Linked DNA regions of Macaca mulatta. Each later gene encodes a partner of the first gene's protein in a complex. Links are inferred from orthologs where the notes say so. Each region holds a gene or a part of one and is shown on either strand. Other genes may lie near its edges.

The links.
Region 2: RANBP2 (region 1) and centrin-2 share a complex: the UniProt entries of both Homo sapiens proteins name them as parts of the nuclear pore complex. The link is inferred for Macaca mulatta from reciprocal best matches to the Homo sapiens genes RANBP2 and CETN2.

What each region holds. Positions count from the first base shown.
Region 1 is NC_133418.1:19,339,610-19,349,368, forward strand, and holds part of RANBP2 (E3 SUMO-protein ligase RanBP2), read left to right. Parts: intron 1-1,528; coding exon 1,529-1,623; intron 1,624-2,660; coding exon 2,661-7,812; intron 7,813-8,682; coding exon 8,683-8,760; intron 8,761-9,759. UniProt on the Homo sapiens protein: E3 SUMO-protein ligase which facilitates SUMO1 and SUMO2 conjugation by UBE2I. Involved in transport factor (Ran-GTP, karyopherin)-mediated protein import via the F-G repeat-containing domain which acts as a docking site for substrates.
Region 2 is NC_133426.1:159,102,038-159,112,581, forward strand, and holds centrin-2, read right to left. Parts: upstream 6,769-10,544; 5' UTR 6,745-6,768; coding exon 6,742-6,744; exon of another isoform or gene 6,376-6,741; intron 5,794-6,375; coding exon 5,635-5,793; intron 5,313-5,634; coding exon 5,184-5,312; intron 4,714-5,183; coding exon 4,576-4,713; intron 3,987-4,575; coding exon 3,897-3,986; 3' UTR 3,379-3,896; downstream 1-3,378. UniProt on the Homo sapiens protein: Plays a fundamental role in microtubule organizing center structure and function. Required for centriole duplication and correct spindle formation. Has a role in regulating cytokinesis and genome stability via cooperation with CALM1 and CCP110.

The DNA of each region.
Region 1 (9,759 bases):
TAGTTTATAAAATCCTTTGCCAATTTGTAGGAACAAAAGTGATACCAATTTTTAAGTTTTTTTTAATACTAGTCATGCTCAACAGTTTGTGCAAATGGCTGTTGGCAGTTGTGCCATCTTCGACGTGGGTACCTTCCAGTTGTTTGGTTTCTTTGGTAAAACTCACAGAACAGATGGAGAAGAGTTTGTGTATCAACATGAGTGTCAATGTGTTTTTTTTAAGCAAACGAACACATTTGTGTTCCTTGTGAGATCCTTTGCATGAATTTGTCGGTAATTTTTTTGACCTGAATGTTTTCATAATAGCTTGAGTTTGCACGATGCAGCCTTGTCATTTTGCAGATTTTCGAGGCTCACTTCAAAAACACGGCCCTTGAGGCTATTACATTTCTTTCCTAAATTGTCTATTCATGTGGTGCTTTCAAAAATTAGATTACTTTTAGTAGATTTATTAGAGCTCTTTAGTTTTTTTCCCCACAGTTTAGAGTCAGTAGTCAATTAAAGTCCCTACTTAAATTTCAGACTTTAAGATTTTTTTTTTAATTTAAAATTTTATTTTTTTATTTTTTCTTTTTGCTTTCATGCAGACAGACATCTCGTAAGACTTTAAGATTCTTGGGCCATTTTCTGTCAGGTTGTTCTGTGTTCTGTGCCTGCTTCCTCCCCATAGGAATTTCCAAATTGCTATCCTCACCTCTATTAGGTTTCCAAAATCAAACTTGGGCTTCTGGCTAGCCTTTTCTAGGTCTTGATTTTTCAGTGCTTTCCAGAGGCAATTGTTTGGAACCTCTTGGCACAATTTGTTTCTTCTTCCATGTACAGGCATAAAAGGTCTTTTGGTGGTTTTCTGGTAAAACTGTCATAAAACAGTTCAAGCAAATGACTGTTGGTAGTTTTGCCATTAACATGGGTGCCTTCTAGTTGTGTGGCTTCCTGGTAAAACACAGAACAGGCGGAGCAGATAGTTTACATCAGCATGAGTGTTGATGTGCTTTTTGTTTTAAGCCAAGGAACACATTTTGTGTTATTTGTGAGATCCTTTCCATGAATTTGTCAGGTGATTTTTGAGCTGAACATTCGCAGTAATAGCTTTAGTTTACAAAATACAACCTAGTCTTTCTGCAGATTTTCTAGACCCACTTCAAATGCATTGACCATCAGATGGCATCTTGGTTCCTTACGTCCTTTCTGTGACTGAATGTCCATAATTCCACATCATACTGATCTTTCTTAGAAAAGGCACCAGCTACTTTCTTCTTTATTCCTTTTTTAATGCTTGTGAGGTAGTTGTTCTTGTTGATCACGCGATGCTATTCTCTTATTCTTCATGTCATATTTAGCAGTTTTTTTCTAGTTTGTCATTTGATAATCTTGATTGGTGTATTTTGATGTACAGAAATTTAAAATTTATGTAGTTAAATCTTTCTTTAATTTCTATTGTTTTTGTATTTATAGCTCTTGCCTAGATAGTCTTAACTGTAGTATAGACTTTAACAGTGTTTTCTTTATTTTCTTTTTTTTTTTTTAGTTGCAACTACTGGCCCTTCAGTATATTATAGTCAGTCACCAGCATATAATTCCCAGTATCTTCTCAGACCAGCAGCTAATGTTACTCCCACAAAGGTAACAAAGGAATAATTTATACATTTATAATTATTTCCATTTTAAATTGTTTAGGGTTCCTTCAAAGAAATTCAAGAAAGCAGTTCAGTATTAAAACTTTTATGTCCCTTAAGGTGTAGATAATTTAAATTTATCTCCAGATATAGAAATTATACTTCTTAGTCACCTTTTGTGTTACAATAAGTGTGAATATTTAGAATATTTTAAAAATGGGAGTGGTAGTGGTGGATCCTTCATCATTCTGTTTTAACAGAAATAGAACTACAATGCCCTTGCTGACCCACTATGTGGTAAGTACTTTCAGGCCTGATACAGCTATATATATAACAATTGATTGAAGACTCAAAATTACAGTGGTAGTTGAATGTGATAGCTTTGAGGACAGAGTGATGGGGTGCATTTAGACCCTTGCTCTTCTGCTTATTTTGACCACAGGCAAGTTTCTTAACCTCTCAATGCATCAGTTGCCTCATATGTAAAATGAGGATAATAATAATACCTTAATTCATAGGGTTTTTGAGGATATTAAAATGAGATAATAATGTAAAGTGCTTAGAATAGTGCCCAGCTGGCACATTAATAAATGCTCAATAAATGTTACCATCATCATCATCATCATCATTATTAACATCATTTGATAAATTGTTTAGGAATGAAGATGGTATTTATTTTATGACTTTAGTTGTAGATTTTAAGATGCTGTAATTAATTTTCATTATATGCCAAGTATATATGCAAGTATCTTTGTAGCAATGTGGTTTTCTCTTAACCTATTTATGCCTAGTGTTCCATTATTGGAACACTAAGCTTTTGGGAGTTATTTATATCTTACTGCTCAGGGTCATTGCCAAGGTCTGATTTTTCACACAGAAAATTTGCAGCCTCTGGCATAAACGGGTTAATGATGTGTACTACATCCCCTAATGATATCTTCTTCACTTAATATTCATGTTTGAAGTTTGTGAGAATTGGTTTGCATTTAGTTATCTGTAGTTTTGTAGACAATCTACAAAATGTTTTAACTTTCTGTCTTCTAGGGCCCAGTCTATGGCATGAATAGGCTTCCACCCCAACAGCATATTTATGCCTATCCGCAACAGATGCACACACCACCAGTGCAAAGCTCATCTGCTTGTATGTTCTCTCAGGAGATGTATGGTCCTCCTGCATTGCGTTTTGAGTCTCCTGCAACAGGAATTCTATCGCCCAGGGGTGATGATTACTTTAATTACAATGTTCAGCAGACAAGCACAAATCCACCTTTGCCAGAACCAGGATATTTCACAAAACCTCCAATTGCAGCTCATGCTTCAAGATCTGCAGAATCTAAGACTATAGAATTTGGGAAAACTAATTTTGTTCAGCCCATGCCAGGTGAAGGAATAAGGCCATCTTTGCCAACACCAGCACACACAACACAGCCACCTCCTTTTAAATTTAACTCAAATTTCAAATCAAATGATGGTGACTTCACATTTTCCTCACCACAGGTTGTGACACAGCCCCCTCCTGCAGCTTACAGTAACAGTGAAAGCCTTTTAGGTCTCCTGACTTCAGATAAACCCTTGCAAGGAGATGGCTATAGTGGACCCAAACCAGTTCCTGGTGGTCAGACCATTGGGCCTCGAAATACATTCAATTTTGGAAGCAAAAATGTGTCTGGAATTTCGTTTACAGAAAACATGGGGTCAGCTCAGCAAAAGAATTCTGGTTTTCGGCGAAGTGATGATATGTTTACTTTCCGTGGTCCAGGGAAATCAGTATTTGGAACACCCACTTTAGAGACAGCAAACAAGAACCATGAGACAGATGGAGGAAGTGCCCATGGGGATGATGATGATGATGGTCCTCACTTTGAGCCTGTAGTACCTCTTCCTGATAAGATTGAAGTAAAAACTGGTGAGGAAGATGAAGAAGAATTCTTTTGCAACCGTGCGAAATTGTTCCGTTTTGATGTAGAATCCAAAGAATGGAAGGAACGTGGGATTGGCAATGTAAAAATACTGAGGCATAAAACATCTGGTAAAATTCGCCTTCTAATGAGACGAGAGCAAGTGTTGAAAATCTGTGCAAATCATTATATCAGTCCAGATATGAAATTGACACCAAATGCTGGATCAGACAGATCTTTTGTCTGGCATGCCCTTGATTATGCAGATGAGTTGCCAAAACCAGAACAACTTGCTATTAGGTTCAAAACTCCTGAGGAAGCAGCACTTTTTAAGTGCAAGTTTGAAGAAGCCCAGAGCATTTTAAAAGCCCCAGGAACAAATGTAGCCACAGCATCAAATCAGGCTATCAGAATTGTAAAAGAACCCACAAGTCATGATAGCAAGGATATTTGCAAATCTGATGCTGGAAACATGAATTTTGAATTTCAAGTTGGAAAGAAAGAAGGGTCTTGGTGGCATTGTAACAGCTGCTCATTAAAGAATGCTGCAACTGCTAAGAAATGTGTATCATGCCAAAATCTAAACCCAAGCAATAAAGAACTCGTTGGCCCACCATTAGCTGAAACTGTTTTTACTCCTAAAACTGGCCCAGAGAATATTCAAGATCGATTTGCATTGATGACTCCAAAGAAAGAAGGTCACTGGGATTGTAGTATTTGTTTAGTAAGAAATGAACCTACTGTATCTAGGTGCATTGCGTGTCAGAACACAAAATCTGCTAACAAAAGTGGATCTTCATTTGTTCATCAGGCTTCATTTACATTTGGCCAGGGAGATCTTCCTAAACCTGTTAACAGTGACTTCAGATCTGTTTTTTCTACAAAGGAAGGACAGTGGGAGTGCAGTGTATGTTTGGTACAAAATGAGGGGAGCTCTACAAAATGTGCTGCTTGTCTGAATCCGAGAAAACAGAGTCTACCTGCTACTGCTATTCCAACACCTGCCTCTTTTAAGTTTGGTACTTCAGAGACAAGTAAAACTTCAAAAAGTGGATTTGAGGACATGTTTGCTAAGAAGGAAGGACAGTGGGATTGCAGTTCATGCTTAGTGCGAAATGAAGCAAATGCTACAAGATGTGTTGCTTGTCAGAATCCAGATAAACCAAGTCCATCTACTTCTGTTTCAGCTCCTGCCTCTTTTAAGTTTGGTACTTCAGAGACAAGCAAGGCTCCAAAGAGCGGATTTGAGGGAATGTTCACTAAGAAGGAAGGACAATGGGATTGTAGTGTGTGCTTAGTAAGAAATGAAGCCAGTGCCACCAAATGTATTGCGTGTCAGAATCCAGGTAAACAAAATCAAACTGCTTCTGCAATTTCAACACCTGCCTCTTCAGAGACAAGCAAGGCTCCAAAGAGCGGATTTGAGGGAATGTTCACTAAGAAGGAAGGACAATGGGATTGCAGTGTGTGCTTACTAAGAAATGAAGCCAGTGCTACCAAATGTATTGCTTGTCAGAATCCAGGTAAACAAAATCAGACTACTACTGCAATTTCAACACCTGCCTCTTCAGAGACAAGCAAGGCTCCAAAGAGTGGATTTGAGGGAATGTTCACTAAGAAGGAAGGACAGTGGGATTGCAGTATGTGCTTAGTAAGAAATGAAGCCAGTGCTACCAAATGTATTGCTTGTCAGTATCCAAGTAAACAAAATCAAACAACTGCAATTTCAACACCTACCTCTTCGGAGGTAAGCAAGGCTCCAAAGAGTGGATTTGAAGGAATGTTCATCAAGAAAGGACAGTGGGATTGTAGTGTTTGCTGTGTACAAAATGAGAGTTCTTCCTTAACATGTGTGGCTTGTGATGCCTCTAAACCAACTCATAAACCTATTGCAGAAGCTCCTTCAGCTTTCACATTGGGCTCAGAAATGAAGTTGCATGACTCTTCTGGAAGTCAGGTGGGAACAGGATTTAAAAGTAATTTCTCAGAAAAAGCTTTTAAGTTTGGCAATACAGAGCAAGGATTCAAATTTGGGCATGTGGATCAAGAAAATTCACCTTCATTTATGTTTCAGGGTTCTTCTAATACAGAATTTAAGTCAACCAAAGAAGGATTTTCCATCCCTGTGTCTGCTGATGGATTTAAATTTGGCATTTCGGAACCAGGGAATCAAGAAAAGAAAAGTGAAAAGCCTCTTGAAAATGATTCTGGCTTCCAGGCTCAGGATATTAGTAGCCAGAAGAATGGTAGTGGTGTGATTTTTGGTCAAACAAGTAGCACTTTTACATTTGCAGATCTTGCAAAATCAACCTCAGGAGAAGGATTTCAGTTTGGCAAAAAAGACCCCAATTTCAAGGGATTTTCAGGTGCTGGAGAAAAATTATTCTCATCACAATGTGGTAAAATGGCCGATAAAGCAAACACTTCTGGTGACTTTGAGAAAGATGATGATGCCTATAAGACTGAGGACAGTGATGACATCCATTTTGAACCAGTAGTTCAAATGCCTGAAAAAGTAGAACTTGTAACAGGAGAAGAAGATGAAAAAGTTTTGTATTCACAGCGGGTAAAACTATTTAGGTTTGATGCTGAGATAAGTCAGTGGAAAGAAAGGGGCTTGGGGAACTTAAAAATTCTCAAAAATGAGGTCAATGGCAAACTAAGAATGCTGATGCGAAGAGAACAAGTACTAAAAGTGTGTGCTAATCATTGGATAACGACTACGATGAATCTGAAGCCTCTCTCTGGATCAGACAGAGCATGGATGTGGTTAGCCAGTGATTTCTCTGATGGTGATGCCAAACTAGAGCAGTTGGCAGCAAAATTTAAAACACCAGAGCTGGCTGAAGAATTCAAGCAGAAGTTTGAGGAATGCCAGCGGCTTCTGTTAGACATACCACTTCAAACTCCCCATAAACTTGTAGATACTGGCAGAGCTGCCAAGTTAATACAGAGAGCTGAAGAAATGAAGAGTGGACTGAAAGATTTCAAGACATTTTTGACAAATGATCAAACAAAAGTCACTGAAGAAGAGAATAAGAATTCAGGTACAGGTTCTGCCAGTGCCTCAGACACAACAATAAAACCCAATCCCGAAAACACTGGGCCCACATTAGAATGGGATAACTATGATTTAAGGGAAGATGCTTTGGATGATAGTGTTAGTAGTAGCTCAGTACATGCTTCTCCATTGGCAAGTAGCCCTGTGAGAAAAAATCTTTTCCGCTTTGGTGAGTCAACAACAGGATTTAACTTCAGTTTTAAATCTGCTTTGAGTCCATCTAAGTCTCCTGCCAAGTTGAATCAGAGTGGGACATCAGTTGGCACTGATGAAGAATCTGATGTTACTCAAGAAGAAGAGAGAGATGGACAGTACTTTGAACCTGTTGTTCCTTTACCTGATCTAGTTGAAGTATCCAGTGGTGAGGAAAATGAACAAGTTGTTTTTAGTCACAGGGCAAAACTCTACAGATACGATAAAGATGTTGGTCAGTGGAAAGAAAGGGGCATTGGTGATATAAAGATTTTACAGAATTATGATAATAAGCAAGTTCGTATAGTGATGAGAAGAGACCAAGTATTAAAACTTTGTGCCAATCACAGAATAACTCCAGACATGACTTTGCAAAATATGAAAGGGACAGAAAGAGTATGGGTGTGGACTGCATGTGATTTTGCAGATGGAGAAAGAAAAGTAGAGCATTTAGCTGTTCGTTTTAAACTACAGGATGTTGCAGACTCATTTAAGAAAATTTTTGATGAAGCAAAAACAGCCCAGGAAAAAGATTCTTTGATAACACCTCATGTTTCTCGGTCAGGCACTCCCAGAGAGTCACCATGTGGCAAAATTGCTGTAGCTGTATTAGAAGAGACCACAAGAGAGAGGACAGATGTTATTCAGGGTGATGATGTAGCAGATGCAACTTCAGAAGTTGAAGTGTCTAGCACATCTGAAACAACAACAAAAGCAGTGGTTTCTCCTCCAAAGTTTGTATTTGGTTCAGAGTCTGTTAAAAGCATTTTTAGTAGTGAAAAATCAAAACCATTTGCATTTGGCAACAGTTCAGCCACTGGGTCTTTGTTTGGATTTAGTTTTAATGCACCTTTGAAAAGTAACAATAGCGAAACTAGTTCAGTAGCCCAGAGTGGATCTGAAAGCAAAGTGGAACCTAACAAATGTGAACTGTCAAAGAACTCTGATACCGAACAGTCTTCAGATAGCAAAGTCAAAAATCTCTTTGCTTCCTTTCCAACGGAAGAATCTTCAATCAATTACACATTTAAAACACCAGAAAAGGGTAAGTACTTTGTTGTTAAAGTTAAGCACAATTTTTCTTTTAATGTTTAACTTGATGCACTCTTTGTAGAATACTAATGTTGGGATATAAACGATGCTTTGTGAACACCCCCAAAATATTTGAGCAATATATTTTTCTCCCTTAATAAGTTCACGGTGAGGTTTCAAAGAGCAACAGAACTTAGTTTAAGACATTTCAGTAACTGGAAGATACTTCTTTCATGCTAGGGCAGAGCAAAAGAACTCAGTACAGTGTACGGACTCATGCTTGAATCATGCGCGTTAACGAGTCTTTTTTTAAAAAAAAGTTTTCATTTTCATTTGTTCAGTTTGTCACTCAGAAAACATGATACTGAGGCCGGGCACAGTGGCTCATGCCTAGAATCCCAGCACTTTCGGAGGTTGAAGTAGGCAGATCGCTTAAGCTCAGGAGTTCGAGACCAGCCTGGCCAACATGGTGAAACCCTGTTTCTACTGAAAATACAAAAATTAGCCGGGCATGGTGGTGCGTGCCTAGAATTAGCAGCTACTCAGGAGATTGAGGCAGGAGGATCACTTGACACAGGAGATGGAGGTAGCAGTGAGCTGAAATCATGCCACTGCACTCCAGCCTGGCTGGGTGACAGAGTGAGACTTTGTCTCCAAAAAAAAAAAAAAAAGAACATGATACTGAGATGTTCTCATTTTATATGTTGTATGTTAGTCTTGCTCATTTATTAAATGAGCAAAGAATGAAACTACAGGGGTAAATGAATATATAAGACAATCAGATTGGTGGTATAAATTGAGGGATTCTGGCTTTTTATGTTTTAAAAGCATATTCATTTTGTTTCCCAAAATGTTAAAAAATGAAATATTCTTCATTTTCTAGGATTTAATTTTAGCCTTTTTAAATCTAATCCCATGGCCTTTTGGACTAGCACCCCTTCCTCACAGCCTGAGAACAAAGGTATAGAACTAGCATTCTCAGTATGAGATAACAGCAGTTTTTAGCAGCTGGTAGCCCTTAGCAAAGTATTAATAACTGTGGCTGTATGAAATTAAGTACTTAACACTACAACATGCATGTTAAAGAATGCCAGTTTAAGCAAAGCACCTTTTGACTGGTGGCATGACATCCTTTATTTTTGGTTTGTTTTTTAAAATATACTGGGATGCTGATTTGTAATGTACTTCATTACTCTGTTATTTCAAGTCTGCTCAATGAAGACCTATGTTTTATCTAATGTTTATCTTTAGCCACTAACGTCTGCCAGTATTCAAATGTATTGGCAACGGCATGTATACAATATGGAAGAGTGTCCCTGTAGGGCTGTTCTTTTGTGCACGGTTTAGAAAAATGTTGTATTTGAAAATGGACCCCATTTTTAACAGCCAGCATTCTACAGCTTGTGTATTATATATGTTGCACAGATCATTTTTAGAAGTGTGGCTGCTAGAGTGGAACAAGAAGTGGGATCTGTTGAAGGCCTTCTAGAAAGTTTAGGGAAGTGAAATCTCACCATTAGTGACCAGTAACACATCTTAGCCATGCCAAACAAGTACAATGATAAAGTAACAATCTCTGATTTTTTTTAAGTATACCAGTTTTATTACTGGCTAAGGTAGCTCTTAATCTTTTATTTTTAAAGATACAGTCTTTGAGAAATATGAAAAGTGAACTTAAAAGTGGATGTATACTAGCATACAGTTTCGAAAGTGGATGTATACTTGCATACAGTTTCTGTGAGCTCTAGGTTAGGAATCCCTGACCTAAGAACGAATGTGTCTATACACTACTGTAGAACAAAGAGCCTTATTCTGTTTTGAATCTGATAATGTCATTGTCCCAAGGCACCTTAGAAATGAAGACTTTAGACATGAGTAAACTGAGGCCAAGAGAGGCTATCTCATTTACCCAAGGTGTCTTGACTGAGTAATAGTAGAACTGGAACAAGAACCTTTATCT
Region 2 (10,544 bases), on another chromosome or scaffold:
CCTCTCTCAGCCCAATCCCCACATACAACCGACATTTCTCTGGTCCAGCCCCACCTGAACTGCCCTCTGCTTTCACTCCTGCCCCTTCCCCACCACCTCCCTATATTGCTCCATCCTGCGCTGCATGAACTGACCTCAGCCCCTTTACTTCTGATCTTCTCCCCAGTGTCCTTCTGCTCCAGTCCCACATGAACTGACCTCTGTTACCTCTCCATTCCAAACCCACTCCACTCCTCCTGCGTCTCTCTGGTCCACCCACAGGGGCTGACCCCTGCTACCTCTGTCTCCCTGCCTGTCCCCTGCAGCTCTGTACGCGACTGGCATTTGAACTCACTTACCCTGCCTCTCCCTCCCTAACAACAAAATGGGAGGCAGGGCCCAGTCTTTTCACTCCTCTCCAATAGTATATGTCTTTATCCAATCATATGCCACCTCCACACCCCTTAAAACTTACCCAGTCACTCTTCCTACGTCTCTCTGGTCCAGCCCTCCATGACATGAACTCAGCTCCATCTCCTTTCCTTCCCCTTCCCCACCATACATCTCTGGTCCAGCCACACATGAACTAAGCTCCATTCCCTCTCCTTTCCCTTGCCCCATACTCCGGCTACCTCTGCAGATACGGCCACACATAAGCTGTCCTCAGTGGCTTTTCCTTTCCCTCTCTGACTCTCTACATCTCCCCAGTGCAGCTGCACAGGAGCTGGCCTCGAATGCCTCTCCCATGCCATCCCATTCAACCTTCTGCATCTCTTGGTACACCCTACATGAACTGACCTCTGCCCCCTCTAAGCGTCCATCGCCACTCCATCCCCCTCCAGTTCCCTGGGCCAGCCCCACATGAACTGTCAACATTTCCCCTCCCTCCCCCACAACTCTATTGTCCACATGAATAAGCCACTAACTCTACAAGCCCACCCACCGATACTCCCACGAAAACTCAGTTACATCCTCACATGAACTGATCCCTGCTCTCTCTCACTCCCTTCCCCCCTACCCCCTCTCCCCTGCACCTCTCCAGGACACCCCATGGGAAGATCTCTTTTACTTCTCTGTCCCTATCTTCTGCAATTTCCCACCACCTCTTGGTCCAGCCCCACGTGAACTGACCTCAGTTACTTCTCCATCCACATCCTCTCCCGCCTTCAGGACTCTTTTCTGCCTCCAGATGAACTGAGCCCAGCTCCCTCTCCTTCCCCATCTTCCTGATCCCCTTGCAGCTCTCTGGTTCAGCCCCACTGACTCATGCTCCCTCTCTGTCCCCATCCCTTCCACTGAACAACTGCACACCTATCTTAGAATGGCTGCCAGGCATAGCTATGGTGAACACCTTATGTTTGTTTTTATCCTCAGGGATAACCTATTACTTGCCACTCTCTGTCCTCTCTCAAGAGATTCCTGAGAGATTTCATTTGTGGGAATATTAAGCAGGAGGAGATAAGAATGTGTCCAGGATAGTCCATTAGCTTAATTTAGCCATTCGACAATGTATACACGTTTCAAATCATATTGTATACCATAAATATATACAATGTCAATTTTAAAACTTCTTTTTGATTAACTTTTTTTTTCCTTATCCCTAAAACTGTTCTCTTTTTTTTTTTTTTTTTTTTTCCCTAAGTTCCGGGATACATGTGCAGAATGTGCTGGTTGCATAGGTAAATGTGTGCCATGGTGGTTTGCTGCACCTATCAACCCATCACCTAGGTATTAAGCCCCACATGTATTAGCTATTTATCCTGATGCTCTCCCTCCCCCCACCAACCCCTGCTGCCACCGGCAGGCCCCTGTGTGTGTTGTTCCCTTCCCTGTATCTATGTGTTCTCTTTGTTCAGCTCCCACTTATGAGTGAGAACATGCAGTGTTTGGTTTTCTGTTCCTGAGTTTGTTTGCTGAGAATAATGGCTTCCAGCTCCATCCATGTCCCTGCAAAGGACATGATCTCATTTAATTAACTTTTTTTCAAATGAGTGTTTCCAGGGTTACAGTTAACAGTAAAATCGGAGGCAGGGCCCAGTCTTTTCACTCCTTTCTAACATTATGTCTTTTATCCAATCATATGCCTCTTATTAGAAAATCACAATACGACAAAGGTCAAATCCTCTTAGGAAATGCTATCAACAGACTTTGGGGACAGTAATGATAAAAGCTTCATGGACCCACATTTAACAACAAAGCTTATGTGATAACTATAGCAAAGGAATGGGAGTGAGACTGAACACTTCTGAATCCTCTTGTTCTTGAACACCTTCAAGCCAGGTCCTTTCTGTAAGTTTGCATTTCACCTCCAGTGATTCTGAGTAGGCACAACTCTTCTCCCCATCACACAGACATGAAACTCCAGGCACCTAGAGAAGTAGCTTGGCCCAAATTGCCCGGCGCGGAAGTGGGTGAGTATGTGTGTGAGAACCCAGTGATGGGGCTAGTCTGGGCTCTTCCCCCAAGTGTTTCTTAAGGAGCAGTCCCTCTGCATGAGACTCCTCTGCGGGATATGGTAAAGTTCATATTCCTGGGCCCCCAAGTCCTACAGGATGTCAGGGTCCAGGCATGAGACCCAGGGCCAGGCTTCTGGCCTCTGTAACGTGCTCCCCAGGTAGGGTTACCAGTGGCAATACAGGATGCTCAGGTAAATTTGCATTTAAGATCAACAATGAATAAACAAAAAATCCAAATGGGATATATTCATACAAAAAAAAAAAAATGCATTGTTGATCTGAAATACAAATTTACCTAGGCTTTCTTTTTATTAGCTAAATCAGTGCAACCCTATCCCCAGGGGACTAGCCTACCCCCAGAAGTTTGAAAATCTGTTTTCTCTGTCTCCACGTGAACAAATGAGCATTCCATCATTGTTCGTTTTCTATTCTCCCTTACCCCTTCTGTCTCCCCACTCTCAACCTGGAGCAGAGACTTTCATGTCATCTACCAGGATTTCTCTCACAGGTAATCCCGTGCAAGGCCAGGAAGATGGCTGGACAGGGTCCCTCAGCCCAACCCACCTCCAAGAGTCGATGAGACACCATAAGCAAATAAATTCATGAGAGGTTGGCTGAATCCATCCTAGTGTTGGATTAGCCTGGCTCTCCCCATTTTATTCAAGCACAAATTACTAACAAGACTCTTTTCCAGTCTTACACTTTGCCAAAACTATTTTTAGAGCATCATTTAGGCTTAGCTAATATAAAATTTCTGCTAGTTTTACAAACCAGCAGGTTCCCAAGGCAAAAAACAATTCACGCCAGGAAAGTAGCAAAGGATTATTCATTTCTGTCCATAGGCTGGTAAGGAGTTTTGTATCTAACAGGCTGCCTTCAACACAATAGTTGAGAAGAGGAACTCATAAGCAAAGCTAAAGAACTCATCCTTAGAGAACACAAGTTCAAACTGAGAAAGGTTTTATTTTTAAGACAAAACAAATAGCATTAACACACATCCAAATGCCAGTGCAAGACTTCACTGGGTTTTATTAAAGAGAAAACTAAACTCAAGTGTCAAATAAAAACTGGAGCCACTCAAGAATGACTGCTTGTGGTGACACAAGTGTAACATGTGCTTGTCTAAAGTCGTCCTGTGTTTGTGGATATGTGGAAATGCATGATAAGAGGGAAACAATGCAAGGCAAAATGGCAGGTGCTCAAAGCTTTAAGATCTTTTTCTTCATGCTAATGTGCTCTTGTTTTGCTTTTGAGAATTAGGGTAATTCGCAGGTCATTTTACAAAGAACTGTAATATCAAAGAACACTTCCAAACAGCTAAAATAGACTCAAGGTCACTATTAAAGTGATAAAGGGAGGTCAGTGGGGGAAAAGTTTGTATTCTCAAAAGCCAGATTTCACACAATGGCAGGCACTAAATCTAGTTACATGTGCTTGCAGTAGAAAAAGAAGACACTGATCTTAATAGAGGCTGGTCTTTTTCATGATGCGCAGGAACTCTTGCTCACTGACCTCTCCATCTCCATCTCGATCAGCTTCATCAATCATTTCCTATATGACAGTAAAGATTCAGGTTAGATTAATTTATAAACTAATGCCAAAAGGTGACTAAGTAATATGACTCTTTTTAGAGACGGGGTCTCTATGCTGCCCACACTACTCTCAAATTATTGGCCCCAAGCGATCCTCCTGCCTCAGCCTCCTAAAGTACTGGGATTACATGCATGAGCCACTGTGCCTGGCAAGCAATAGACTTTTAATAACACTATGTGAATAGATAATTGTAGTCCACCCAATGCCAGTATGCCACTCCTGATAATAGCTTGGTTCCTGAAAACTTATTTGAAAACCAACTCATACTTTGTCAAACATTATCACCTGGGAGGGAGCTTGAAGATTACCTTGACTAGAGGGATTCCTGGAATGTAAAATAGTAGGCAAAACTGTGCCTATGTGCATTTTTCTGGAAGCAGCGTTCATAGGTTTGTCTGACTATTAAAGGAGAATTCAGTTGTCCACAGAGGGACAAAGTACACTGGCTTTCCTTCAAAGAAGTGCTCACACTAGGGAAAATGTAACAGAAAAGTCACAGAGGGCCCAAAGGTGGGAATCTTAAGTTCCAGTGTGATGCATTACAAACCTGCAGCTCCTCATCAGTCAGGTTCTCACCCAACTCCTTGGCCACGCGTTTCAGATTTTTGAACGAAATCTTCCCAGTTTCATCATCATCAAAGAGCTTGAAAGCTTTCAGGATTTCTTCTTTGGTATCTTTCTCAGACTTACCAAATAGAACATGAAACACATGAGTAGGGGGACACCATGGTTACTCATGTCCTGTAGCCCTGCCACTGCCCGGTCAGGTCACCCTTTCCTTTTTAACAATGTAACTCGAGTCTAGACTTGCAGCAAGTGTCAGGAAGCCCATTTTGGCCTCAGAGAAACACCAGTCAAGCCAGGCACTCCATCCAAGGTGACGTTTGCTCCCTATCCCTATATCTCTCCCTATCCCATATCTATTTCCTAACTGGTTTAGAATTCTGTGGGAAGAGGTATCTGCTTGGAAGTCTTGAGAAAGAAGTACAAGGGCTTGTTTTGGGAGCCCAAGGTAACATGATGGGAGGGCAGGCCTCCTGATGCAGCTGCTACCTGGACTGCTCTGTGGTCACATGACTGTTTTAACAGGCAGATGCCATGGGCCTCTGCAGATGACTGGGGCGCCATACCATGCAAATTGTCTTAGCTACTCACCATTTTCTGGGTCATCACAGTTAAAAAGTCACCAAAGTTCATTTTTCCTGTCCCTTCTTTGTCAATTTCACTTATCATTTTCTTAATTTCTTCTTTCTTAGGTTCAAAGCCCAGGGCCCTCATTGCCACCTATAATGAAAACAGGATTGTCTCAATAAGCACATCTGAACTAGCAGCAGCAAAAACAACAGTGTTGAGAGCATTAAGCCAGCATCTGATGTGGTCATGTTAATATGATTGGGGAACACTATAACATTGATCTAATTGACATTTGCAATCAATTTTATTTAATAATACTCTAAGTAAAGACAGGAAAACAGAGCACAGTACAACCTCCCCTGTTACTTATTGCAGGGAGAAGAGGGCAAAAGGGGTAGAGAGGTGATAGGGAGATGACAAGGAAGAGGCAGAGGAAAGGAAGGGCAGTACGGCAGGAATGCATAGAGCTTGCCTTAAGTTCTTTAACATCTATGGTGCCAGTTCCATCCGCATCGAAAAGATCAAAAGCTTCCCGGATCTCCTGCTTCTGCTCTTCAGTAAGCTCAGGCTTAGGACTCATTCTTTTTCTCTGGGAACTTGATGCCATGTTTGTCTTCTTAAAGTTGGAGGCCTTCATACGTTATGCAATACACAAGCACAATAATATATCGTACAGTCCATATTTACATAACATAGTTACAGACACCCATATGTAGTTTTAAATAATTTTATGGCAACCAATTCCAAAGCTTTGCTTAACAAGAAAGATAACAGGGTTTACTGGCAAGAACAATGAATCTTTCCATGAACTTCTATCCCTCCCTTTTCTTTACTGTCGTTTCTAGAAGCAGGGAGATCACTTGTTCAGTAAGGATACCTCTTACTGAAAATCATCCCAAAAGAGAGCTAGTCAAGAAAATGACTGCGAATAAGTAGAGATAATCAGCTCTTCCCGAATGTGGGGATCCTGGTTCTGGAAACTGCCTTACAATGCCCACTCCCAGTACTCCGCTTCCCAGTAAGCACTCTGACTTCCCAATTACTTCTAGATTTGGCCAAATATTAGCAAGTTGTTAAGATGTATATTGTGTCAGTATCGAGTAATAAAACTCAATCCATCTGACACCTTCGTGCCTTCTCCAAGAAGCTACAGCATCCCCTGAATGCCCCTATATTTAAATTGTAAAAAACACTTTAATAGAACACAATACACCTTCTCCCAGCTCTGTGTGGAAATTTTGGCAGAATGAGGCGGCCAGGGGGCCAAGGTCTGAGAAAGTCAGGGGCCTGTGAGGGATTCGAGTCTTTTTTGCCCAGGGAGGTTCACCGAGGTGATCAGGGAAGGCCAGGGGAGCCCGAGGGGCGGGTGTGGGCCTGTTGTGGGTGAAGGGGAGGCAGCAGCAAAGCGCAGGCCCAGTAGGTTGGTTAGCGTCTGTACCCTACTCTTCCGGGAAAGAGCTCAAAGGAAGGACTGGTGCGTCAAAGCCGAGAAAGGCGCAGGAGAGGCGGCGTGGCCGAGCTGGGGCCTGGGAAGGGCTCAGCCTCTGGGCGTGGGGCGCGACAGAGCGGCAGCACTCACCATAGCCAAAGGAGTCCACGGCCGGTTGTTAGGCAACCGACGTGTACACTGATTCGGCGCCGCTCCCACCGCCCCGCGCGCACAGCCCCGCTCCCCATTGGGCGTCCGCTCGCCGCCGCCGCTCCCTACTGGTGCAGGGCCGAAGAGGGTGGGACTAACCTGGCAAAGCCCAGGCCCAGCGCGGGGAGGGGCACGCTGGGGACAGAGACCTGTCTTTATTGGGCAAGATCAAGCCGTGAGCGCCAATTGGCTGAGCCGACGCCGAGCTGGGCCAATCCTCTTGGTAGAAGAAGCTCGGCTGATTCTCGGCTCACGCGGGAGGGGAGTAAAGGGTGGCGTTCCGGGGCTGGAGTTCGGTGGGTGCAGCCTGCTTGCGAGCTGAGGCCAGCCAGTGGGGCACCTGCGGACGGGTAAGAGTCGTGGCCTTGCCCTTGGAGGCCACCCTGTGTCAGCGACTGGGCGGGGCGGGAGGGTGAGGAGCTGCGGGGCCGCCCGGGTCGGGTGCTTTCTGTGCTGACCTAAGGCTGAGTTAGGGACCGAGTGCATCAGAGCAGCCAGAGACGATTGACCTTGCGTGTTGGAGCAGGGACTGTACTCACGGGGCAACTGAGACCCGGAGAGGGGAAGGGGTCTGCTGAGCGTTGTGGCAGAGGTCGGACGGCTGGGACCTAGGAACTGAATCCAGCCGAGGCTCGCTCTTTGAGGGTGGCCCTTCGAGAGCACCCCCAGACTGACCCAGATGTGTAGGCCCCAGACCAGGTTCCAAGAGAGGATCACTTCAGGTCTTACCTGGCTAAAAACAGCCCAGGACGGTGAACTGGGGGCTTTGGGAACGGACTTTGAAAGGAGTGAAGGGGATGTGAGCAAGCAAGAGGGGCGGGGAGAGGTCATCAAAATATACTCTTTTTGACACCCACACAGTGCAGATAAGGAGGAGCATTCCAGGCCGAGACGCCCTCATCAGCAGAGTCACAGGAGTTTTGGAAGTGAGAGGTATGCTTGGAGAATTAAAAGGGAGCGTGTGCAAGGGCTGTGTGGACTGAGACAGACCTGCAGAAGTGGAGCTGGAGGTCCAGTTTGCCCTCTTTAGCTGTCTACGTGGCTTTTAGCCTTCACCTGATTTTCCTCCAGGCACTGGGGCAGTAATCTAGGGAAGTAGAGGGCAGAAAGTAAGTTTTTCAGGCAGAGAAAGGCCTGAGGCTTATTAGAACCTTTTAAATGGAGCTTCTGCCCTTTGCCCTCTTCAGCAGTGAACAGACTCCTAATTTTTGGGTCATCATCATCCCCCCAAGTAGTACGAGCCAGAGTTCTCATCATGGTCTCCAAAGCTTGGCACGACGTGTCCCCTCCCATCACTCCACAACTCTTCTCTCAGCCCCAGAACACTGGCTTTGTGGTTGAACCTCATGTGCCAGCCACACTACTGCCTCTCATCTTTGTCCCAGTTGTCCTCTCTGTCTGCCTCCTCTTAAGCACCCTATTTAAGTACTGCAGCCCCCAATACAAACAGGCCACTCACCTTGCTCTGCTTTTTTTTCTGCTTTTTTTTCCAATAGTCCTTATCACCTTCTGACCTACTGTATATTTTGCTTGTTTATTTTGCTCTTTGTTGTCCCTCCGCTAGAAGGCAGGCTATCTGAGGGCGGGCATCTTGGTTGTATTCACTACTGGTACTCCAGGACCTGGAACAGAGAGGGGCACATATTAGGTGCTCAGTAAATCTTGGTCAGACAACTGATGAGTAGTTCCCCTGTTTCCCACCTCTCACCTAGCTAGTCCTCCCTACTCTGCCAGGTTAATCTTCATAGTGAACAGCTCTGGTCACGGCATCTCCCTGCTCTTAAACCTTCAGAGCCTGGACTGTAAAGGGCTCCTTAGCCTGGCCTGTGATCCCTCTGCCCAGTTTTGCCCCTGCTAACCCTTCTAACTTAATGTCCCTCCACATTTTGCTTCCCTGTCCATCAGCCTGCAGATCGGAAGCCTGACAGAGTACAAGGGACAAACACAAGTTCTGTGCAGGCTGTGTGACCTTGGGCAAGTCGCTTAACCTCTCTGAGCCTGTTTCTTATTTGTCGAGTGAGGCCAGTACTGTCTACCTGATGGGATACTTTTGCATCTCAATGGGATGAGGTACTTATATGTAAAGTGGCCTGATGTTGAGCAGGTCTTCAGGCAGTATTACAGTTGACCCCTGAACAACATGGGTTTGAACCTTGTGAGTTCACTTACAGGCAGGTTTTTTCTCATCTCTGCTACCCCTGAGCTGCTAGATCAACTCCTCCTCATCTTCCTTCTCAGCCTACTCAGTGTGAAGACCATGAGGACGGAGACCATGATGACCCGCTTTCACTCAATGAATAGTAAATATATTTTCTCTTCCTTACAATTTCATAGTAACATTTTCTTTTCTCTAGCTTAATTTATTGCTGGAACACAATATGTAATGGATGTAACGCAGAAAATACTTGTTAATCAGCTGTTTACATTATTGGTGAGGCTTCCAGCCAACAGCAAGTTATATTGGTAAAGTTTTAGGTGAGTCAAAAGTTATATGTGGATTTTTTACTTTGGGGCTCAGTGCCCCAACTCCCACATTGTTCAGGGGTCAAATGTAGTTCTCGTCTCTGATTTGCTCTTGTCATTCCCCCTACCCGCCGTGCCTGGAGCCTTAGACTTGTCCAAAATCTCTTCCCCACACTGCAGCCAAGGTGATCTTTCCAATCGCAACACTCACTCCTGCTTCCAACTTCTGGGGGCTCCACCATCTTTCCCCCCTTGTAACTCCCTAGCTTGGCACACAGGCCCCACATGTTCTCAACTTTGCTCCCGATCTTGCTTCACACTTGCTGTGACACAACTTGTCACAGTTATAAAAACATGCTCGCTCTGTGGCTCTGTGCCATTGCTTTGTCCTTCCTACCCCTGGCCATGGAATGTCTTTCAGGACACCATGCCCTCTGTTTTACTCACTCTTCTGGGGTCTTTTGAAGTCAGCTTAGGGATCTCCTAGTTGGGGCAGGCTTCCCTGAGCCAGCAGCCTGCATTGGTGCTCTGGGCTTGCCCTCATCAGAGTGGAAACGCATTTCTGTGACTTTTTGCTTGCTCCTGTCTCCCACCCTAGATGGTGGGCTCCTTGAAGGTCAGCACTGTGTCTTTGTCAGCTTCTGCCTGGTAGTGACTGGCATTTGGTGCCTTGTGAATGAGGAAATCAATGAATGAGGTGACACCTGGGGGTTCTTTTACAAGTTACCGCTCCCACTTTAACCCTGGGGGTTTGTTTGAGCCTCACAGTGGCTCTGAGGTAGGCGAGAAGAATGCTGTTTTACAGATAAGGCCTCAGGGCCAGTGGCAGCATGATAAATCACTCAAACCCATCTTCCATTCCAGACTGCCTGCTGGGCCTCCAGGGGCTCGTGGGGTCCTACAGGGTGCTGAGTGTGAGGATGAGAGCAGAAACAGGTGCTGTGGAAGTGACTCACCTTTCCTGGAGAGGGGGAGGAGGTTTCACAGAGGGTGCAGTTCAACTAGGCCTTGAAGGAAGAGGAGGCAGTCACCGTGGAGAGGAGAGAGAAGGTATTCCATGCAGAGGAGCAGCATAAGCTAAGCTCACAGGCATGCTGATGGGTTTCTGAGAGGTCTACCACAAAATAAAAGCTGGGGACTTTTTTTGTCCTAAAAGTAAATAGAGAAACAAACAACTGGTGGAAACATGGACACCGCAGGTCCATGGAAGGACAAGGTCGAGCTGGGTTGCCCCAGCATAATCAAGGCTAAACTGACACCTGTGAAGAGAAATGACCTCT